Linked DNA regions of Callithrix jacchus. The protein of the gene in region 2 purifies or fractionates together with the protein of the main gene of each other region. This does not show direct contact. Links are inferred from orthologs where the notes say so. Each region holds a gene or a part of one and is shown on either strand. Other genes may lie near its edges.

Region 1 (12,557 bases), on a different chromosome or scaffold from region 2:
CTTTAACACATCCTCAAAAAACAAATTGTTTAGTAAGGCACATTTGATTTCCCTCCTGAAAAGGAGTCTTGCTCTGTCGCCCAGAGCTGGAGTACAATGGTGCAATCTTAGCTCACTGCAACCTCAGCCTCCCAGGTTCAAGCGATTCTCCTGCCTCAGCCTCCTGAGTAGCTGGGACTGCAGATGCACACCACCATGCCAGGCTAATTTTTATATTTTTTAGTAGAGATGGAATTTCACCATGTTGGCCAGGCTGGTCTCGAACTCCTGACCTCGTGATCTGCCTGCCTCGGCCTCCCAAAGTGTTGGGATTACAGGCGTGAGCCACTGCGCCCAGCCTAGTAAAGCACATTGTAAAGAATCACATGAGTTTTAATCAATGGACCATACCAGTTTTTATTCTTAATTTATTTCCTCAAATTTGCCACTATTTTTCCAAGCTTTGTGGTGCCAAGCCTTCCAAAACTGGTCTGATTTACTATGGATCTACATGAATTCTGTGAAGCTTACCAGAAATCTTTGCCACAGTCAATGCAAGAAAGGCATTCACAGTTTCTGCAAACAGACACATGCTTTTCCACTTGGATTTTCTTCACTGATTCGCCACATGCATTGCATGTAAAAAATACCATTTTAGGTAAATGGCTAAATATTCGCTATCCAAGACAGGTTTTAGGTCTGGTCCTAAAAAAAAAAGATAATTATCATTATAAACTGAAGCTTCTCATTTCAATAAATGGCTCATGCAGCTAACTTTTCAACCATAATTTCACATGAAAATAACAGTCAAAGCTGATTAGCAATCTACATAAAACTCCTCCATTCATATAAGTAAAACTAACATTAACGGTGACAATGGCTAACATTTATTGTGTCCTTATCATGTGCCAGGCATTATTCCAGGGGCTTTACATGTATTCACTTATTAAATCCCCATAGCAACCCTATGAGGAAAGGACTATCATTGTTCACTGAGATGCAGAGATTACATAACTTGCCCAAGGATGCACGGTTAACAGGACCAGGATTTAAACCTGGCAGATTGACTCTCAAGATAATGAGCTTTGAGGGTGTTAAATCTTCCTTTCCCTAATATCTTAAGCTCTCTCAATTACATAAACTTAGAGAACGCACTGCAATTTAGGTGTTCACTACTAACTATTTCAGGTCCTCAAATACACTAAGAGCACAGCAAGAGGAAAACTGAGCGAAGTTTAGAAAGTGGAGAAGAGGCAATTCTATGGACATAATTGCTATGGCACTAACAGCATTCATATCAATATTACTGTATGTCTACAGATGTTAAAATGAGGACATGTGCCTCAGCTGTAATGGACAGGGGCCTCCTTCATGTGGCAGCTTGTCAGACAAGTCAGAAAGAAATGGAACCATGTCCAGGTGTCCCAACTGCTGGGTGCTGAATTACCGGAGTTCACGAACCCAGGGGTGCCGAGCACTGCTCCAGCATGAAGTATGCCTGTACACGTACATAAACATCATTTTAAAATTTCACAGAAATGCTACTGTGCTCAAGGAAAAATACATTCATCTAAAAGCGTTAGAGAAGTCACAGTAATTTTCCACACTTACATAATGTGTTAATCACTACATTTTAAAACAGTATTGTTTTACATTGTAAGTTTCACAGCAAACATACTGAGAACTGTTTAACCCAGTGCTTTCTTTCTCATTATGAAAATAAAGGTGAGTGTCAGGTAAACAGATGTAATTTACTTCACGGTAGGGCTTCATCCAACAATCTTTCAGATCTACCCTTGTTTTGCAGACCATTCTCATGCATGAAAACACCGTCGCTCCTCCACCAACATGTTCTGGATCACTGCTGGTAAGGTCACACCCAAGCAATACCCAGGGTTATTCATGTCCATTCAGCCTTGAATGGAAATGTACAACCTGGCTGCATCTCCAGGGTTTACGGAGGCCCAGCTGGTCTCTTGTGGAGCTGTCCTGTGGGACACTATCAGACATCAGTTCAGCTTCTATGCTACACACAAACCACAGAACCCTGACCCTGGGTCCCAGGCCCCACTCCTCTGCTCACTATCAGTGTACTCTAGTAAGCACGGGGCATGCGGTCAGCTACAACCTAGTACCAAATTCTCAGGAAAGAAAACCCTGGATGTGCTGCAGCAACTGTCATCTTCACATCTGGTTACTGTTAAGATGTGTGATACTACCAGGCTCCTGGGAGCTGGAACCACATTTCCCATGAGCCAGCTCCCTCAAAGCCTACCATCTAAAAAAGGCCAAGGATGTCCCACATGCCAGGCAACAAGAGCCGCTATCCTGCCTGACAAGGGAGAACAAAGGCTGAACAAGAGCCAACACCGAATTCTCAAAGAGCCTGGAGGTGTACTTTGGTGTAAGAGCAGGAATAACTTATTAATGTCACCAAGAAACAGATTCTCATCACAGGCACAAGGTGAAAGCAGCTGTGATATGCCAAATTATCTGCTGAAAAGCTTTCAAGTACTTTCCTAAGAAGATACAACAACAAAAAACAGTCCCTGAACTTAGATATGGCTTAGAGCTTGCCAACCTCTGTTGCTAAGGACAATTCTATCTCTTGATGGAGAGGGAGATGGGAGAAAGCAAGCTTTCAACAAGCCTTAAGATTCAATTGGGAGATTCCTGTCCTGGCAGGTCAGGAATTAAAGGCCTAGGAAGGAAGCTGGAAACAAAATATAGTGACTGAAAGAAGCAGTGATGTTGACAAAAAGATACTCAAGAGTATCTGTGCGAAACATTCGAGCTCTCTGGAGATTAGCCACACCCTACAGTGTAGTTAATAGCAATTCGGAAGATGATTAGAATCTGATTATGTGCCAGCTGAAAAATAACTCTCCCATCATTTTCATTTGGTCTTTGTTTAAGGCAGAATGGATGGATTGCACAGGAAGTCAGAACTCTGTCTCTTCCTGCCTTCCTTTTGATTTTACACGTGCCATGAAACGGGAACAGCAGTGTCCACTTGCTTGGCTAATGAGCTAAGGTCTGTAAGGAGCTTACCTCCCCCTTATTCAGGGCCTGGAGGACAGCCCAGCAGCTGGTCAAGAGACACCTTGATTACACCTCAAACCCGACCTAGCCCCAGGGGAAAATATCTGTAATTTACGCCATAAACACTTGCTAGAGCTTCAAAGAAAAGCTCAAAACCATCATAACCTTCAAAGTCAGCATAACTGCACAGTAGGCTTAATATTCATAAGTATAAATGCTACAAACTTACAAAAAGCCATCACGTGGAAATTCAGTCCCTCTAATGGAAGACAGCAAACATTGCCTAAAACAATAAAGTAAAATGGTATTATTCAAATTCCACAAGACTAGATAAGCATAAAGAAAATTTAATTAAACTTTCTTTAATTTTTGGCAAGTATGCAGCATTTATGCTTCTGAAATTATGAAACCTTAAAACTGCATTGAGACTTTGAAGACACCCTGTCTGCCAGGCTCAGATGTGACAGATTTCAACGTTTAGCCCTAAGTGTAAAAAGATGGCAGTTTCTTATGGGGCTGGATCGAAACAGAGTCCTCTTTTCCTTCCCTGGCTCCTCAACTTCCTATGCACGATGTTCAGTTCCAGTGCAGCCACAGAGATTCTGTACGCTTTCCTTCTAGCCACGTGGGCACGTTAAAAGAGAAAAGCAAGCAGAAGGCGGCGTTCTTGGACTGGCTGAGAGCATACTTCCATTCTTGCCCCAGGTAAGTCACTTTAACTCAGTTCAGCAGACATTTCCTAAATGCTGGGGCTATGCTATCCACCACAGCATCCGCCGGGGGTCCTCACTCAGTTACTCTGCCTGCGCTTCTGGCTGCCTCCTCGACTGTCTGTTCGGTCAGTTTACTGAGCTCTCATCACATGCCACACCCACAAAAGAGATGACGGAGTCTGCACAATAGAACACACGATCACAAGCGCTCTACAAAGCCATGTCCCATTTATGTCCACCAGGACTTCTATGATCAAACACCACCATCTGGAGGGAAAACCCAAGGCTCAGGAGGGTAAGTGAACTGCCCGAAGTCACAGTAAGTGGGATAGGTAGCCTGAAAGACCAGGCAACAAGCCCAGGTTCCCATCCTGCCTCCATCTTGACCTGCCGTGTCCTGGCTGTTTGCTTGGCTTTAACTCAGCACCTGAGACCTTGAGGTCCTCATCCAAAGAGAAAAAAAATTAAAGCCTCCACAAGATGACTTTCCAGTATAAACATTAGAACCCTAAGCCTTAATTATAAAGTCTGTGCGCAGTGGGCAAGGAGACCACCCATGTCACAGGAGAGGCTGTCAGCTGGGCAGCAAAGCTAGTTGAGTGACAGCAGCCAGTGGTCCGTAAGGGGCAGGGAACTTGATAGGTTTCTCTTAACAAGATGGTTGCCAGGTTTTGTTGGACTGGGACCTGACTTGGGTTGAGGATCTGCTAATGCCAAAAAAAATCATTAAAAACTAAATGACCTCAAAGCATCTTAACCTCCAAGAATCTGCTTATCTATAAAATAGATCTAATACTTAACTCAAAGCATTGGGTGGAAAGTTTTAAGACACCAGATACGAGAGCTTCATCCTCGTCCAATGTAGAAAGGTTTCTCTGTGGCCTACTAATTTGCACATCAATGCCATTACACCCAGCCCTCTCCCAAGCCCCAGCTCCATTAAATATGACCATCAACCCACCAATTTATCTTTATAAATTCACTCCAACCTTCTCTGGCTCCTCACCCCATGGGTGCCTACTCGACCATTACGTGCCCTGATAACATGCCCTTAGGTTTGGTTCTGGGAGTGGAATGAATTTTTTTTTTAACCTTCCTCCCATTTTTGTATTATTTATTAAATTTTTTCACAAAAACAATATTGACTATCTTTTATTTATTTATTTTTTTCCTGAGACAGAGTCTTGCTCTTTCGCCAAGGTTGGAGTGAAGTGGTGCAATCTCAGCTCACTGCAAACTCCACCTCCCGGGTTCAAGCGATTCTCCTGCGTCAGCCTCCGGAGTAGCTGGGACTACAGGTGCACGTCAACCTACGTCCGGCTAATTTTTGTATTTTAGTTTAGAGACGGGGTTTCACCACACTGGCCAGGCTGGTGGTGAACTCCTGACCTCAGATGATCCACCTGCCTCGGCCTCCCAAAGTGCTGGGATTACAGGAGTGAACCACAGCGGCTGGCCGACTATTCTTAAAATATCCTTTCATGCGCAGACAAACACTGACCTGCACACCATTACCACCACTACCACTGAAACAGCCCACCTGAGGGGTCTGGCTGGCAACCCCAGGACATTCCCCCACTGAGCACTGTGACCCTGAGCATGCCACTGCCCCTTTAAACTTGAAGTTCTCTCATCTGTGAAACAAGAAGTCAGGCCAACCAGACAACACTCAAGCCCCTTCCATGGGCAGCATTGTGAGAAACCACGGGTATGGTGCAGGAGAAGCACAAACATACTCTGTCCACCATCCTGCCTAAACCTTTACATGTGGGGCTGACCAGGGTTACAACGGGGGACATTCACAAGGCGAGGACCTCTCCCTTGTTCCTTGCAAAAGCCCTAGGAAGTAAGTGCAGCCATCTCCACTAAACAGATCAACTGAGGCTTACAGAAGCCATGTTTCTATGCCTCCCACCCCACCCACAACATCACCAGCACTGTTTTAAACACTATCCCTTCAGTCGAGTAACTATCAAGTGTCAGGCACTATGCTAGACCCTGGGAGCCTGGGGCACAGTGTGAGTAAGTCCCAAGTTGGACTTGTCTGCAGGAAGGTCCGGTTGCAAATACACACCCACCTCATTGCTCTCCCCCTCTCCTCAGAGGGAGGTGCTGCAGAGAATCCTAACATTTATGGAGCACCCAAGCCCTCTCATAGGAGGTTAACACATTTCTACTCATTTAATCCTCATCACAGTCCTCCGAGTTAGGTTCTATATGTTATGACAGATGAGGAAACTGAGGCGCAAAGAAGTTTAAAAAACTTACACCAGGTCATCACACATCCAGGTGGTGGCGACCCAGATTCACAGGCAGTTATTCCGGCCCGAAGTCCGTTCTCTGGTCCTCAACATCCTAAGGCTTCCTCCTTAGGGACTGAGGTCCCAAGGCTCAAGAGAAGAGCCCTGTCCCCAACATGCAGCAAACCTGAAGCCCAGTCGGGTGGTGACCAACCGTCCTGGTTTGGCCAGGCCCGAGGGGGTTCCCAGGACGCGGGACTTTCAGTTTTAAAACTAAAACAAGTTGGTCACCCTAAGTCCAGAACTCCTGCCACTTCCCCAGAGCCCGAATAAGATCTGAATGGAACTCCTTCCTCCATGCGTATGCTAGAGGAGCTGACAGTGGATCGGCCACCCAGTCCTTCCCCTACTCACTCTCTGAGCCCCAGCCATCTAGGTCGGACCTCTGGGCCACCGCCCCTCACCTCTCAGCCAGCGCCCGCCAACGGTTTCAACCGGCCGCAGGGAGCACGTGGAATTGCCGCCGCCCGCCCAGCGCCACAACTACCGGCCTCTCAGGCTTCGCAGCGCGGAATTCACTCCCGAGCCACCCGGCGCGTCTGCGCACCGGGGCCACACAACACCCCACCCAGCGGAAGTGACGCCAACGGAAGCGGGAGGGCGGTTCCTGCAAGCCAAGGGGGCGTGGTCGGGATGGTTCCGCGGCCGGCTGGGCCAGGCGAGCTGGCCTGAGGCAGGACCGCGGCGGCAGGTGTAGATCAAGGCGGCGGGGCAGAGAGCGGTCTCCGAGGGTAAGGTGGCCGGCCTCGCGAAGGCAGGCGGGGCTGGCGAGGGTGGAAATGGCCCGGAAGGGAAGGGAGGCCGAGCGTCCGAAGGTGGCCCAGTAGGGCATGGACCCGCAGCTCCCTCCGCATCCCAGGGTGCTCGAGGATACTGGCGGCCCCTGCGAGAGTCAGCGAGCATCTGCTCTGTGCCGGGCATCGCAGGGGACGCGGACCGAGACCCAGAAGGCCAGGTTCCGGGCCTGGGAGCCGGGCCTTCTCCCGTGTAGCTCCCTCGGCCTGGACACCCCACCCGCGTGCTCTCATCTCCAGGCTTTGCCCGCAGGAAGCCAGTCCCGCCCGCCTCCGCCCCGCGCTGCCCATCTCTCGGTTCCTGTTTTCTTCCACCCTGTAGTTGACAGTAGTGCTTAAGACGACAGAACCCACAGCCTAGCTCAGTCTCATTACGGTGTGGCCTCTCTGTGCCTCAGCACGGCATCCGTAAAGCGGGTATCATAGCGGCACCTGCGTCTCTGGAACCTTGTCTGATTTCATGAGTTGTGCATGTAAATCGCTTAGAGTACTGGCTGCCACTTAGTAAGTGCTCAATAAACGTTAGCTGTTCTCAGCCCTTAAGATAGGGTCTGGCATACAGTGGTGGTCACTAGGCGTTTGTTGCTTAAAGGAATGAATGAAAGTTGAATGGAGGATGTACAGAGTATTGTGAGAAACCTTAACCCCAAGGTGTGTGTAATGTGGGCGATAAGGAAGGTTTCACTCTGGAAATGAGCAGTGTTGGGCCTGGAATAGAAGGTGTATTCGTTTCCTAGGGCTGCAAACAAAATGCCGGGTGGCTTAAACACCAGAAATGTATTTTCTCACAGTTCTGGAGGTTAGAAGTCCAAGATCAAGGTGTCATCAGGTTTGCTTTCTTCTGAGACATTTCTCCTCGGATTGCGGGTAGGCACTTACTTCTTGCTGTGTCATCACATGGTGCTTCCTCTGTGTTTTCCATCTGTGGTGTCTCTCTTTGTATCCCAATTTCCTCTCTTCGTAAGAACATCAGTCAGATTGTATTAGGGCCGACCTTAATGGCCTCATTGTAACTTAATTACCCCTTTACAAGGCTGATCTCCAAATACAGTCACATTCTGTGATTCTGGGGGAACAGTTTACCCATAACGAAAGGAATTGACAAGAATGGACAAGGGGGGATATATTTTCCAACAGAAGTGACGGAATGCACAAGAGGCTTAAAAGCAGGGTACTCACGGTGTCTTTTTGTGTTCAGGGCACATATGTGTAGTTCAGTCTTGTTTGCGCTCTCCTGCTTTTTTTTTTTTTTTTTTTTTCCATTTTGTCCCCCTGAAAACTCAAAAGTGGGTGAGCCTTCTCATTTTTTGTCTGGCAAAGTTAACTCATGTTTCAGCCTAGATGTGTCTTCCAGGAAGTTTTCCGTGACCCTTCCTCCCAAATTAATTTCTGCTTCCTCCATTTAATAACCCTGGTACAGTGTGACGATTGTTTTTCCCACTAGACTGATGCTTCGTGAAGACACGGATGACCATGTCTGATGTGTTTGCCATTGTACCTTCAGTGCCTAGAGTATAATGGGCACTCTGTAAAATTAGGTGAATGATCGAAAACTGAGGCACAGGCAGGGAATCATCTTGTTCCATTTGTCAGCATTCAGTCCTCTCGACAATTTGTTGTACTTATTAGGCACAGAATATCTGTTTAACTGAATTGGCCTTCCCGGTATGATAAGATTCAGTATAAAGCTAAGACAAGACTCCATGTTTGTTTGCTTCAAGCCAGTGCTTTTCTGAGTGGGGTGGAGGTGAGGGGCTATGAGTAAGCCATTTGGAAAGTATGTTGATGGGCAGACTCCTTAGGAGCCCTCTAAGGTAAGCTTGGTAATAAGGTGTGTGAGCTGTGGGCCCCTGAAGAAGTCATCTATTAATGGCTCAGCTGAGAAAACATCCACAAATTCTATCCAGTAGTATTTGACCTGTTGATAGAATTGAGGTGCCTCTGCTCTAGGAGTCTTCTCTGCAGGTTGAAACTCCATTCTGGCTCTTGTTTCCTTTAGAAGCATTTCTTCATTCACATTGATGGAAGCCTTTTCTTGTTTCTTTTCCCCCCATATTTTCATTTGTTGCCATTCATACCATCTTTCCACCATCACATTCCTTGAGATTTGTAGCTTTTAGAACAAGAAGAAACCTTAGAGCTCATCTAGTCCAGTGGGGGACTCCTCCATTGTTATGGATGAAAAACTGAGGCCGAGAGTCTGATCCATTCAGAAATATGTATTGAGTGCCTACTATGTCAAAGACACCTCTGGTAGGTACCAGAGATACATTGTTCAGTAAGACAGGTGGAGTCCATGTCTTCACCACAGAAAATCTTTGCTGCTTGTCACCAGGTGAGTTAGCTGCAACGATGGAAGAGAACCCTGTGCTCCTCCTGTCACACTACAACACCTTGTGTAGCACACGTTAGTCATGAATTGTACAGTCCCTTAATACGGCGCTTGTCTGTGGGATTACCTGGACAATCAGGCTTAGGCAGTAGACTGAAGAGGCAGCTGATTCCGATCAAAGGAAGCAGTGGATGAGTGTGGCTTTGGTGTCAGATTCCCTGGCTTTGAATCCCACCTCTGTCCCTTATTGCTTACCTATTACTTTTTAGCTGTGTGACCATCTTCTCTATACATGGTCAGGTTTTCTATTGCTATGTAACACACTATCCCCAAATTTGGTGACTTAAAAACTATTTTATCTCATAATTCTGTGGGTTAGGCATTCAGGCAGGTGTCACCTGGGAAATTCTTCAATTCTATGTGGTGGCAACTGGGATCACTCAGTGGCATTCCGCTGGAGGAGGGCCTAGCCTGGTGAGGTCAGGATGGCTTCTCTGGGAGCCCCTGAACCCTTCTCTGCCTCCATGCATTTTGTCTAGTTGGGCATCTTACAGGTGGCTCAGGCCTTCCATAGCTGGTGTTCCAAAAGATGGGAAGTGGAAGCTGTTAGTTCTTCAGGCCTGGGCCTGGGAAATGAGCACAGCTTTATAAGCACAGAATCTGATTAAGGCAGAGCCTGCACAGATTCAAGGGAAGGAGACCTAGACTCCACCACCCCATGGGAGAAGCATGAGAGAATTTGTGTCTGTCTGAAATCTACCAACTTCCTCGTTGTTCTCACCTGTAAAATGTGGATAATAGTAGTACCTGTCTTACAATAAATGAATTCCTAAGTGTAGAGGGCTTAGAATATAGTGCCTGGCATCTAGAAAATGTAGGTATTTGTCATAATCGTTATTATTAGGTATAAGATACATTTTTGTTTATAGTTATAATTTACAGAACACATGAGAAATATAAGATACAGGGTTTTTTTCCCCCAGACCTTTTTATAACTGTATTGGGGAGGTACAGGATTGACATCATGAAGTTATTTAGAGAACTATACAAAATGATATGAAATAGTTATAATTTTTTTTTGAGACAGAGTCTTGCTGTGTTGCCCAGGCTGGAGTGCAGTGGCTTGATCTCAGCTCACCTCAACCTCCTCCCAGGTTCAAGCAATTCTTGTGCCTCTGTCTTCTGAGTAGTTCAGATTACAGGCGTGAGCCATCATGCCTGGCTGATTTTTGTATTTTTAGTGGAGACAGGGTTTCATTATGATGGCCAGACTGGTCTTGAACTCCATGCCTTAAGTGATCCTCCTGCCTTGGCCTCCCAAAGTGGTGGGATTACAAGTGTGAACCTCTGCACCCAGCCTATAATTCTTATAGTAAAAGTCAATGTGTAACAGTTCACCACTGCATAGCATCATATCTCTGGGGGTCATTCCAAAGAACTTTTCTTTATCACTTCTATAGAGCTAGAAAATGTCTAATTTTCTAATTAGACCTCTACCTAAATTACCTAGACATTTACATTTATATAATTAGACAGTTTTACCTAATTTTAACAGTTAGGTCCATGGAGGAGGGTTTCGTGTGTGTGTGTAAAATGTCTTTATTCCCGTGGGAGATAAAGCATACACTCCAGTGTTTAGGGACCAGGATTCAAATCTTGACTTTGGCACATAATAGTTGTATGATTTTGGATAAATGACTTAAACTCTCCATATCTCAATTGTTTCTCTTGTAAATGATGGTAATTCGGTTCTTGTAGAATTGTTTCAGTTAATGGATATTGTATTAATCCATTTTCACACTGATATAAGGATACTACCTGAGAGTGGGTAATTTACGAAGGAAGGAGATTTAATTGACTCACAGTTCCACATCACTGAAGAGGCCTCAGGAAACTTACAATCATGGCAGAAGGCGAAGGGGAAACCAGGCATATCTTACATTGCAGCAGGGGAGAGAGAACTGGGTGGAGGGGAGTGGGGACTGCCAGACATTTTTAAACCATCAGATCTGGTGACAACTCATTCACTGTCACAAGAACAGCATGGAGGAAACTGCTCCCATGATCCAGTTGCCTCCCACCAGGTCCCTCCCTGGACATATGGGGATTACGGTTTGGGTGAGAACACAAAGCCAAACCATATCAGATATGACATGCTTAGCACAGATCTGCGGTAAGTAGTCAGTAAGTGATAGCTAAAAGGAATGATAAACTTGGAAGCCTTTTCAAGCAAGCAGCACGGTGTGAAGAGTAACTGATTACTCATGTGGCTGTTCACTATCCTTGAGGATTCAGCACTGGGAACAGTGTCTACCACCTACCATCATTGCCTTTCTTTCTATACTCTTGTTTGGGGCGGCATTAGCCATCCCAGTACCTCAGTGTTGCTCTTTGTCCCAGTTTTCTCTGAATCTCACGGTGATCTCAAACCAGGAGATCATGCCAATACCCCAAACAAAGCTTTCCATGAAGAGATGAGGGGAATCAAGGTCTAGAGTTGATAGGTGAGGTGATGGGGGGATGAAGTTTAGAGATTCTAAGTTGAAGGGGCATGCCATTGAAGAAATTTAGCAGGTAGTGGGAGATTGGAACTGGTAGCTGAAGCGAAAGTTTCACATTTAGGAGCTGTGTTAGAACATGTGAAAGCTAAGAATGAAGGTGATTGCCAAGGGAAAGAGGAGAGGGCTACCATGCTGCACCTTAAGGAACATCAATGTTTGCAAGGCTCAAGGGAGACAGGCACAGCATGGGGATGGGACAGATCAGGGACATAGGAAAAGAACCAGAAGATTTCTGGGAAAAGAGAGATTTCAGGATGGGAGTTGGCAGACAACACTGCCATGTGTGGCAGGAAAGATGGAGAGGATGGTTGGGGTCTGAGGAAAGGTCGTTGTGGGGAAAGTCTGTTTCAGCAGAGAGAGTGGAAGCAAGGTTGCAAAATGATATGGTTTGGCTGTGTCCCCACCCAAAACTCATCTTGAATTATAACTCCCACAATCACCACGTGTCGTGGGAGGAACCTGGTGGTAGTTAACCTGGTGGGGGTGGGCCTTTCCTGAGCTGTTCTCATAATGGTATGATAGTGAATGAGTCTCACGAGATTTGATGGTTTTAAAAAGGGAATTTCCCTGCAGAAGCTCTCTTTGCCTGCTGCCATCCATGTAAGATATGACTTGCCCCTCCTTGCCTTTCACCTTCCCCCAAGATTGTGAGGCCTCCCCAGCCATGTGAAACTGTAAGTCTAATAAACCTGTTTCTTTTGTAAATTACCCAGTCTCAGGTATGTCCTTATCAGCAGTATGAAAATGGACTAATACACAAGGTGAAAAAGGAGTCGTGAGAAAGTAAAGTGGGGTGTGTAGATAGCTATTTTGAAAAGTGTAAAAGAGAGGCCTGT
Region 2 (12,119 bases):
CTATCACACAGGCTAGATGGATGCAGTGGCACAATCGTAGTTCCCGACAGCCTCAAACTCCTGAGCTTAAGCAATCCTCCCATCTCAGCCTCTTGAGTAACTAGGCCTACAGAAACACAACACATTTCAAAATTTTTAAATTTTTTTGTAGAGATAGGGATCTCGCTTTGTTGTCCAGGCTGGTCTTCAACTCCTGGCCTCAAGCAATCCTCCCAGTTGGCCTCCCAAAGTACTGGGATTACAGGTGTGAGCCAACTCTCAGGCCAAAAAATCTTATCTTGAAGGGCTTGCAGGTAATCTTGCAGAGGGGTAAGAAAGGTGAACTAAATGGCCTTCTGAACACTCTCTTCTTGTAATCTGTGATATAATCTGACACAGGTACCAATTAGAATAATAGCTATTTGAGGAGGCAGGTGGATCACTTGAGGTCAGGAGGTCAAGTACAGCCCGGCCAACATAGCAAAACTCTGTCTCTATTAAAAATACAAAAAATTAGCTGGGCGTGTTGGCAGGCACCTGTAATCCCAGCTACTTGGGAGGCTGAGGCAGGAGAATCACTTGAACCTGGGAGGCAGAGGTTGCAGTGACGGGATTGGAACACTGCACTCCAGCCTGGGCAACAAGAGCGAAACTTCATCTCAAAAAAAAAAAAAGAGTAATAGCTATCCAATGTAGATACACCTAGTGATCTCACCAGCTAGCTTCATCCAGAAACAGTAAATTCTTCAAATATCCTTCTCTCAAGTATCTCCTTAAACAAATTCAAAAAAGCAATGATAACTCATAATTTTACTTGGAAATTTGCATTTCTTGGCTAGGTGACTGGAGAGTAAGAATAGATGGTACAGATGTGGTATCTCCATATGGCTTCAGTAGGAATTGGAAATCCTACAGACAGATATATCCTGGAAAAATATATCTGTCTAAACTGCAAAAACAGGGCCTCAAATCATAAAAGCCTTAGTACTCTAGCAAATTTTCCCTGGTCCATCCTGGTGCTATATAATTAAAGATAGTGTAAAGGAGGTGAAAAAGCTCATACAGAATGGCTTTCCTCCTCTGATCCTTGTGGCTGACGTGAAAACCTTGGAAAATTTCCTGTGGCAGCAACACATAAAAACCATACACTCGTACCTCCTGCTCTACTGGGCCCTCTCATCCACAACTCTGACCCACCTGGCTGTTGATACATACATTTTAACCTCAAACCCCAGCCTCCTTATCTCTGTCCTTTTCTTTGGGGCAAGTGAGCAACTTTGGAGTCAACACCAGGTACAGATTGGAATCTGTCTTGAAAGCACTCAGGGGTCCATACTCCAGTTTTTGATGATTTGTTTTTCCCCCGCTTTTATTTTTGAGACAGACTCTTGTTCTACCCCCGAGGCTGGAGTGCAGTGGCGCAATCTCGGCTCACTACAACCTCCGCCTCTTGGTTTCAAGTGATTCTCAAGCCTCAGCCTCCCAAGTAGCTGGGATTATAGGCATCTACCACCACATCTGGCTCATTTTTGTATTTTTGGTAGAGATGGGGTTTTGCCAGGTTGGCCAGGCTGGTCTTGAACTCCTGACCTCAGGTGATCCACCTGCCTCAGCCTCCCAGAGTGCTAGAATTACGGGCATGAGCCACCATGCCCGGATCGATGATTTTCAATGAGTGTTCATGACCTACTTTTCATCTAGAAATCCAGATGAACAGGAGCCAGAGCAAACAGGCTCATAGGATAAAATGCCTTAAAAAGTCAATTAGTGGCCAGGTGCAGTGGTGCACACCTGTAATCCCAGCACTCTGGGAGGCTGAAGCAGGTGGGTCACCTGAGGTCAGGAGTTCGCGACCAGCCTAACTAACATGGTAAAACCTCCTCCCTACTAAATACAAAAAAATTAGCCAGGCATTGTGGTGCATGCCTGTAATCCAAGCAACTTGGGAGGCTGAGACAGGAGAATCACTTGTACTTGGGAAGTGAAGGTTGCAGTGAGCCAGGATCACACCATTGCACTCCAGCCTGGGCAACAAGAGTGAAACTCCATCACGCAAAAAAAAAAGTCAATTAGGGAAGTTGATTACCTAGTTTATATGTAATTTATCTAGTTACATAAAGCTCTTCACTCTTTTTTTTTTTTGCCCTCCTATTTGATTTATAGCCCTTTTATTGCTTAGTCAAATTGAAATAAGGAATAATAGAGAATAAAACTAAAATCTGGAATTTAGGTTACCTGATAGCCTGTCATATAAAAATGATATAAAGAAAGAAGCAAAATTGAAGGCTAAAAGGAGTTTCAAAAATTATTTCGAACCTAAACCTATAAATGTCACATTCCTATCCCCTATATAAGTTGTTTAAACTGTGACATTCTAGAGGAGGGAAACGAACAAAAGTTCTTCTCTTCTGCCACTATTCCTCAGTGCTCACGCCTGTAATCCCAGCACTTTGGGAGGTGAGGCGGGCAGACTGTCTGAGGTCAAGAGTTCAAGACCAGCCTGGCCAATGTGGCAAAACCCTCTCTCTATTAAAAATAAAAAACTTTAAAAAATTAGCCAGGCATGGTGGCGGGCACCTGTAGTCCCAGTTACTCAGGAGGCTGAAGCAGGAGAATTCCTTGAACCTGGGAGGTGGAGGCTGCAGTGAGCTGAGATTGTGTCACTGCACTCCAGCCTGGGCAACAGAGCAAGACTCTGTCTCAAAAAAAACAAAACACAACAAAAAACAATAACTCTAAGTGGTGGCTACTATTTATCAAGTCCTAACCATGTGCTCAGCACCATCTTAAATCCTATATACTTTCTCTTTTAATCCTGGCAATAATTCTGGGAGACAAGTACTGTCATTATCTACCCCCTTAGGCAGGTGAGGAAAACATGGCCTAGAGAAATAAATAACTGACTCGGGATCACCTAGCTAGTAAATGACAGAGCAGGGATTCAAACTCAAGTCTGTTACTAAATCTTGTGCTCTCAATTCCCAATATTGTTCCATTCCCTAAATCAAGGAGCAAGTTTAGTTATTTATAACATGCTACACTTGGGGAAAAAAATTATCTCCCTACACTATAACATTAAAAATTAATCAAAACAATTTATAATAATGAAACTTGTACAAAAGTTCTTATGCTTTAACAAATAGATCCAAATAAATTAAATCTCCATTGAATTTAGCAATATTGACATATGTATGCTGTTGCTTCATGTAACATTAACACTAGGCATTGCATTTGTTAATAACATTTCAACATTAGAGACAAAAACTGCTTTTGTTCTGATAGAAGCTGTATCAAGTGACAAAATGCTAACAAGTCAGGATACAGAAATATTTTCCAGGGAGATTCATAATGTCAAGCAATAAATAAAGGAGTAATAAGGTTTATAGCACAATCACTTTCAAGTAAGTATCATTCTTTTTTATATCTGCACTTATTTTAAAGACTAGGAAATAAAAACATAGCGCTATGGTTCTCAGATATCCGCACAGTAACATGAAGAAACTTGAAACCACCAAATAAAATTTACATTAAAAAAACAGAGCTTTCTAGGCTGGGTGCAGTGGCTCATGCCTGTAATCCCAGCACTTTGGGAAGCCAAAGTGGGTGGATCACCTGAGGTCTGGGGTTTGAGACCAGCCTGACCAACATGGTGAAACCTGTCTCTATTAAAAATACAAAATTAGCTAGGCATGGTGGTGCATGCCTGTAAATCCCAGCTACTTGAGAGGCTGAGGCAGGAGAATCACTTGAACCTGGGAGGCAGATGTTGGGAGTGAGCTAAGACTGTGTCATTGCACTCCAGCCTGGGTAACAAGAGTGAAACTCTGTGTCAAAAAAAAAGAAAGAAAGAAAAAGAAAAAGAACCAGAGCTTTCTATTACTATCTACAGTTTTTGGGATGGGGAAGATAAACATTTTCACAGTTAAGGTCCCGCTACAACAAAAATGGTCGGACTTCTGAACTCTCCTTTGTACTAACACTGATGCTAGGATTTGAGACCATCCTAAAGCAAATCTCAAATGTCATCTTTAAATGTATATTTCTTCATATTGCTTTTTATATAAAACTATTAACAGATGACTACTTTTTAAAATGTATTACTACTGATCATCAAAATGACAGCCCCCCTCTTCCCATTACCATTTCATCCAAAAACTACCATCTCAGAGTCTGTGTGAAATAAGAGGTTATTTAGTAACTACAAACACAGTTATATGTTCGGCAAAACCCGTCTTTTAAAAAATGAAACTTGATAGTGAAGCTACTAAAGGTACATTTATTGATGCAATTTTAATAAAGAGTTCAAATGAGAAAAACAAAAATAAATCTTACCATTAACTGTTCCAAAGCAAACCATAATATGTCATAAGTACCAACTGAGATGACACTACTATTCCAATAAAGCAATGTAGTATCTTACTAATATGGTTACTGGTAGTGAAGATAACTACGGAAACATTACTCTAATGCAGCTTCAGAACAACAGCTCCTGTGAAATTCACTGAGTTATCCAAAGTCATAAATGCTGTGTTATACAACTGAACCACAGTGAAATATTTTTTTCAGCAAGTGCTAACATTTTCCTATTGAGAGGCTACTATCATCTTCGTTTGTAATGACCATAATAACTTTATCACAGAGACGAAAACATAGCAGAATTATGAAAAATAAACTTGAATGAAGACTTTAACACAATATATACTCAAATTAACCAAACTGCTTGTTTTCTAAGTAAACAGCCTCCAAAAAGATTTTAATTCTCTTTGAAAAGCAAAAAAAATTGAATAGCATAAATATTGACTCATTCCTTTTTGTTGAATGGCAAATAAGATAAACTCGGCCTTGGATTTTGCTGGCTCAGGAAAAAAAAAAGCCTGCAATTTAAAATTATACTCAGTTAATAATGCAATACACTCTAAAAGAAGCAACTTCTGATTTAATGAGTTTAAAATAATTTTTATTCTCAAGAGGCAGAAATACCAACTTACCAGCTTCGTGCCTCTTTTAATTTCCTTTTGGACATCTTCAATAGAAAATCCACCAAGACTTTCATTATCAGAGTGTGATGATACCAAAGCAGATGAAAAGAGCTATAAATTACATTTAAAAAAAATTAAGGTTCATATATAAATTAATTACAGTAAAACAGTAAATATGTTAAATTTAAATGGTAATTTTCTAGTAAAAATGGCATAGTATTAGTGATAAACCATTTCTTAAAATTTAACTGAGCTTTTTTTTGTTTTTCATTTTTTTTAGTATTCAGACATTCACATGTTATTAAGATTCTCTTGCATGGTTTCAAGGTCTCCGTTGCTGCCAGTATACTTACCATACACTTATGGTGCGCTGCCACCTTCTGGTTTTCAGATATTAGTAACTGTCCACATTCCTTGTCTCTATTTGACTTACAAAAGCCACATTTGCGCTGTCTTGTAGGCCCTTTTTTCTGTTCAACTGAGCTTGACATGATTTTTAAATTGCCTTTAGAATGCCACTTTAAGCCTCAAGAAATGCTACAGAGAATAAGAAGGGCGATAATGTTAATTTTATTTTAAAATCAGTTTATACATATTCATGTAAGTTGTTAAAAATTTGACCTAGGTTTTCATATACACATTTTTAAATGTTTATTTAGTACAGACAAATTAAGCCACTCTAAGCCCCAAGAAATGCTACAAAGAATAAGAAGGGTAACAAAGTTCATTTTGTTTTAAAATCAGTTTATAAATATTCATGTAAGTTGCTTAATGTTTGACCTAGGTTTTAATATATACAGTTTTAAATGGTTATTTAGTATACATAAATTAACATTAAAACCTGATGCCTCCATAATAAATACAGATAGATAGACAGATAGCTAAATTAAGTTTAGAGTAATTGAGAAAAATCAAACTGTTCCCAAATTGGAGGATATGTGAAATAACTGACACTATTTCTGTGTGGATAAAAATATACAATGTATAATATTAAATTATCACCTGCTGGCATAATTAATGTAAAATACTTTTCATGCGTAGCTAGGTGCCCCTTCAAGGAGATAAAGAATTATACCTCTTGAGAACAGAGCAAAAGCTACTGAGGAAACTTCAGAATACTTGAACAATTTCTTAATGTTCACATATAGATAAAACAATAAAAGTAAAATGAATCTACCTAACTATGACTTTGGTGTACTTTATAATTATTTATGGGTTTAAAAAGTCAGGTATATAACTTTAATAAATTAATTTTTGCTAGTCTATTCCATTTTCAAATAAATAAAAAATTAAGCTTCAAACTGTCTATTCAAAAATGCAGACTTTAAGACCCAATTATTTTTTAAACAATCGTATTAAATGACTCTAAGATTTACCTCAAGTTGGCTTGTCAATTAAAGTCACAAACTGATAGTGGTCTTCTAAATGTAGTAACTTCCATACTTAAATTAGTAATACTGTGTGAAGGAAGAAATGTTTTTTGAATGAGCCTTAAATTTGGTCATATTATAATTATAGGTAATACAGTGTAGTCAAACAAAAAAAGGGAAGGAAAGCTCTAACATGAAAGATTTCAGATTTATATCATCAATCTTAATATGGATTCTTCAGAAGAAATTTAAAATTAGTTACTTGATTTGCATAGCTTTCCCAAATCAACAGGACTAAGCAGTTGAAGACCCAGGTTGCCACAACACACATCACAATCAAGAAAAATCTCAAACTTTTGTCTTAAAATTAATTTGCTAAAATCTTTCCATTTGTCTACATATGTGAAGTTTTATAATATTACACTGAAAAAAATTGTCTAACACTATATTGCAGCTTTCTTAGAAGCATTTGTTCACCAGCAAGAACAGTAGCAGCTGTATGCTAGGAAGGTATTATCTACAAACTATTCAGTGCTTTTCAATATAAAAATTCAGACACTTAATCAAAATTTAACCTGAAGCCACAAAGAAAACATGTCTTCTCATCCATTTATGTCTAGAATTTTCTTTTTAACCCAACTTCAAAGGCCCTGACAGTCTCTGCTTTGATAGGTTTCACAAACTCTTAATGCTATCTATAATTTTAAATATCTCAGTCTTCCAAATGGCAACAGATACTTTACCATGGTACTGTATTCATAGCACTGGCCATAAACTGTGAAACTGATTGGAAACAGGCAGCAAATACTTTCAGGATTAAAGGAAAAAAAAAAGGACATAACAGAGAAACAAAAGAAACAAAAGGAAAGTGTGTTTGCATTTGCTCAGGGAAATGTATGTTCGGTTGCTTTATCAAAAACATAGCTGCCCAAAATTTAGAATTAACTATGCAAAATACTGAAATCTGTAAATAGCATCAGAATTTGCTATTATATTTGAGTTCTAAATTCGTTCTTTACTACTACGCAATGAATAGTAGGCACTCTGAAATCACCATAATAATGTATTCAGCATTACTCCCGGTCATCCTGGCCAGTTGAAAGGATGGCACAGTATAAATCAAATCCGTACAGACATCTTAAATGTGTAATTTCCATACAATCTTAGCACTGGCTATACAACTGGCTTAAGATAAAGAAAATTTCTAGCGTGGAAAAAAATCACTTCGTATTCTTTAATTCCGAAATGGCATCCCCAAATTTCTATCTATATTGAATTCTGCCTCTTCCAATGTATATACAAGCACATTTCTCACCCTAATTTTGAGAACCTGCTTTTCTAGATATCGAAGACCCCAAAATCTAAAAGAGAAAAAAACGTATACTTTATTTTGCATTCAAAAATATTCTAGTGTATTTTTTTCTGTAAACAGTTTAAATTTAATTTGCAAAGTGAGAAGAGCCACAAAAAAAGTGCACCAAACCAATTAAAAACTTTCCCCAACGTGCAATGACTAAATGGATTTTTCCACTGAAATTCAAATAATACATCTGTGCATATGTTGGTAATTTTTTTACAGTCTCCTTGTAAAACATGAAGTGGAGAACATCATGGAAACAATGACTTCTAGCAAAAATATCCTTATCATAAAAGTACAGATTTTTATCTAATGTTGTCACATTTGTGGTCTCTAGTTAAGTAGAATAAGGGCATTCCAAGGACCAATACTAAGGGGTTCATAATGATTCACAGTTATATGGCATTTTAATTTTAGTCTAAAAGGTCTTTCAGGCCATGCGGAGATCAAAGTTTGATGCTTTCACGCAACAATGAAGGCTTTTCCTTAAAAGAAACATCGCAATATGGAAAATACTACAAGGCAGAAATGAAGAGGCAACCATAACAGCGTGAAATACATAATTAAAATGCCTGGAAAAAAAATAAAAGGAAGATTAGCTAAACTGAAGCGATGCTGCGAAGCACCAAGGTAGGAAGAACTTGAAACATCAGAGAGAGCATTCAAGAACCAACTCGAGAGCTCATTCAATGCCTGGAATCTGAAAAAGCATTTTCACAGAAAAACAAACAAAACAACAAAAACTGCAGTTCCGGAAGATTGAGATATTCCATGTGAACACAAACTGAAATATACAAATCAAAATAGATAACAAACTCGATCCCCCATAGAAGCAGTATTTGTAACAGGAAAGTTACAGTGGACAGAAATAAACGAGTAAGATGTACCGGAAGGGCACCTGAATTTGGTTGCACGATATTACATGCTTCGCACTGCTTTTTGCGGTTATTCAAAAGGAAACTAAAGGAATTTTCCAGTTGTTTCAAACCCAAGGGGAGAGAAAGAATTTGAACAATATAAATAAGACCTGACATTACGTAGTAAGGCGATGAAAATAAAAGATTTTCTAAAAACAAAAGATTTTTCAACTTCCACGCGGAATATCGAAACGAATGGAAATTGGAAAAGAATACCTCGCTGTTCATCCATCTAATGAAGGACGGTACACATAAAGTACCGGATCCTCTCCGTTATTTATTCCCCCAATACACACTAGATTACAAGATCTCCTTCTAACCAAGCGCTAAAGTCACAAAACTATCTTCCTCTAAAATACTTCAGCAGGTTCCTTTCCGTCGTAAAGTCAGGATCCCCTAATCGTCCTTTTCCAATCCTCCCGAATCCAGGAAAATATCATCCTACCACTTTCTTTATGCCCCCTCCCCCAAGAGTTAGCCCTCTCTCAGTCACCGTTGTAAGCTTTCCTTTATACCTCAGTTTCACCCCTTATTCCCTCGACCCCGGAGTTTTTTCTCATTCCGTATGGCTATCTCTCTTGCCATCCTAACAATTCTTCCTCTTACTCTTCCCAAACTGGGAGTCTCTCTCCTTCCCAAATATGTTCTAAGCAATGGCAAAAACTAAAAATTCCCAGTTTTTCCCCTCCTCAAATGTTGCACCCCCTCCCCCGAAGTCTAGACGTAAGCCTAACCTCTCCTTCTGCACCTCCAAATCACTTTCTCAGCAGCCTCTCCGCCAAGCGCCTACAATGAGCGACGCTTCTGGGGTCCCTGACAATAAAGCGAGACCACCAAGAGTCCCTTTTAACAACGGGCAGGGGCGGCGGCCTGGCTACCGCCATCCTCCTTGTCTTCTCCCGCCGGGCAGAGAATGGGGGGCCCCAGGGTTCCGTGGGGACTCACCCGCAGGGCCCAGAGACGTAAGGCAGGAGAGAAGCGCCAATGAGGGTAAAGAGAAAGAAGTCGATCTCGGTTCTCCGACAGTGCCTGAGAGCGGGGCTCTGTCGCCGGAGGTTGTTTCCTTTCATTCGAGGAGAGACGGGCTCGCGGAGCGCCCTTACGTCGCCCCCCTCGCACGCACACGACCCACAGAGCGTTGATACGTTCCGAGCGCGCCGCGGGCCCTGATTGGCCGCAGAGAGGGGGTAGCTGAAGCCGCAGAACCACGGCGCAAGTGCAGAAACCACCTCCTGTACGACTCGAGGCGGCAGGCCCCGCCTCCTGCTCGCGCGCGTACCTTCTATTCTCCGCTTCGCCACTCAGCCAAGTGTTTGCGGGCCGGATCCGCGAAGATAGAGAAAGAGATTCAAAGATATAGCTGTGGGCTGGGCGGAGAAGGGGCAGGGTTGGGACTGGAAACCGTTGGACAGGGGCCCTGGGTAACCAGTTCAGAACGTTGATTCACGTAGACAGGCCTTATCCCTTGCACTTGTTCGCTGAGGCCTTTTCACGTCCATTATTTCATTGTACTCTCGTGGCATCTCTTTGAGGTCCTCCGTTCATTATATTACCAGGAAAGACTGAGAGGCTCGTAGTGGAGTCATTCTGCCTGAATTTCAATCCTTGGGCGAATTGTTTTAACCACTATATCTTAATTTTTTTTTGTCTTTAAAATGGGGATAAAAATAGTGCCTCATGGGTTTGTGGTAAGGAAGAAATGAAAGAATGTAACTTAAGCGTGTTACTAGCATCCCTGGCATATAACAGACTCTCCATAAATGCTGGGATTATCATATCAGAAAAGAGAAGGTGATTTTCTTTATACTTGTAAACCAGACACCTAAACGAGTGCTTTCCTCTTTGGTGTATTGGAGCCAGATCCCTTAGGTTTGAACTCCAGCTCCACCACTTCTAATAGCTCTATGACCTTGATCGCTTTGTACTACCTCTCAGTCCCTCGGTTTCATCCTGTCCAAAATGGAGATCATAATGGTATTTGTCTCAAAAGGTAGTTATGAGAAATGAGATAATATACGTAAACCACACAATAACGCCTAGACACATAATATGCCCTATATAAAGGTTAGCTTTTGTTATTTTCTACTGGCTTCACAGACTTAAATTTTTTAAAAAAAAACGTAACCAGTGAAAACTTAAAGATGCTCTTCAAGAGCCATTTTTCCTGTAGTGGGAGTGGATTTCCACTGTCATGATCCAATGTTATTTCTTTACTGTTTGTCAATCTTTTTACTTTTGTCTGCAACGTCAACTTTGATTTCCCAAGCAAACAGTGACCGTGGTGATGCGACGTTGTAACTTTTCAAATAGGTACCTAATAAAGGTGGACGACTTAGCCATTTAGCTGCAAGGAACCCTTAGCCCTTTAACCTGAGACCCTATGCTGTGAAAGGGAGTGGCTAAAGATTTGCATAAGAAGATCCAGAATGTGTATTCCAAACATTTATGCTGTATAGGAAACAGGTTCCCCAGCATCATTTTCTACCAACTTTACACACTTACTGATGCCAGGGTGAGACAGATGATTGTGTGACAAAATGCGGTGCCTGTGCGGTATGCCATCCTTTTAAGTTTCCCCCCAAATCCCTACATGTTGCTATCTTTTATTCATTATTTCATCTATGCATTCATTTCAACAAACTTTGATTCAATAAACACTTGCAAAACTACTAAGTTCCAAACACGATGGAGACCAAGATCAATACAACTCAATCCCTGCCTCTGAGCTCATGGTCAAAAAGAGGCGACAACAAACAAACATATACAGTATGTGATCAATGCTGTATTAGAAATGTGTGGCAGGCACAGACATCTGCCTATTATGTACAAAGCGCTATGCTGAGGTACAACACAACAGTAACTAAGACACAGCCCTTGCCTTCAATTGTTTACAATCTAGCAAGAAAAAGTTGGTTACAATAGGAGATACACTACAGTGAGTGCCTTAAAACATGGAAAGGAAGTGCAGAGAGAGTTCAGGAGAGGGATATATCAGTGACTCTAGTTACTTCCAGGCCCTTAGTCTGGTAGCCAGTTCCAATTAGCATGACTGTTAGATGCAGCCTGTTATTTCAAGGCCTACAGAAAGGAATCAGATTGTGATAACAAGCCTTAATGCCTGCCGATTATAGCGTGAGATCTAGTCATCTTCTATTGATTCACCGATACACTCTCACCGACACTTTTCCAGTTTTTTTTCTTCAGGCTCCAGATCTCACTTTTCCCACCTCATTCTCAGCAAAGGCATTAATCTCATGACTTATTTAGCAAAGGGCCATCTGAGCTAAGCTACTTTATCTTGTACACCTACCCTCCCATGCTGCCTTCAAGACTCCCAGAAAGAGCTGTACCTCTTGCTTTCTAAAACTTTTCAAAGCTGTGCTTTTAATTACATCTTTTCCATGCTCTGGAGGATCTGATTCCCTACTTATTACCTGTTCCAGTGGCATCTACTACCCTGCTCTCATTTGCCTTCAAACTATGGGATTCCTCTACTTTCACTGCCAGACTGCAGTTG

The links.
Region 1: the proteins of PHF6 (region 2) and LYAR purify together in Homo sapiens (affinity purification with mass spectrometry; 3 studies listed by BioGRID and IntAct, with this or other methods). This does not show direct contact. The link is inferred for Callithrix jacchus from reciprocal best matches to the Homo sapiens genes PHF6 and LYAR.

What each region holds. Positions count from the first base shown.
Region 1 is NC_133504.1:184,455,118-184,467,674, forward strand, and holds the start of LYAR (cell growth-regulating nucleolar protein), read right to left. Parts: upstream 6,596-12,557; 5' UTR 6,389-6,595; intron 3,305-6,388; exon of another isoform or gene 3,251-3,304; intron 685-3,250; 5' UTR 633-684; coding exon 511-632; intron 1-510. Other genes in the region: ZBTB49 (zinc finger and BTB domain-containing protein 49), read left to right, coding at 7,604-7,695. UniProt on the Homo sapiens protein: Plays a role in the maintenance of the appropriate processing of 47S/45S pre-rRNA to 32S/30S pre-rRNAs and their subsequent processing to produce 18S and 28S rRNAs. Also acts at the level of transcription regulation.
Region 2 is NC_133524.1:129,925,126-129,937,244, reverse strand, and holds the start of PHF6 (PHD finger protein 6), read right to left. Parts: upstream 9,675-12,119; 5' UTR 9,548-9,674; exon of another isoform or gene 9,337-9,547; intron 6,416-9,336; exon of another isoform or gene 6,335-6,415; intron 5,496-6,334; 5' UTR 5,450-5,495; coding exon 5,312-5,449; intron 5,070-5,311; coding exon 4,968-5,069; intron 1-4,967.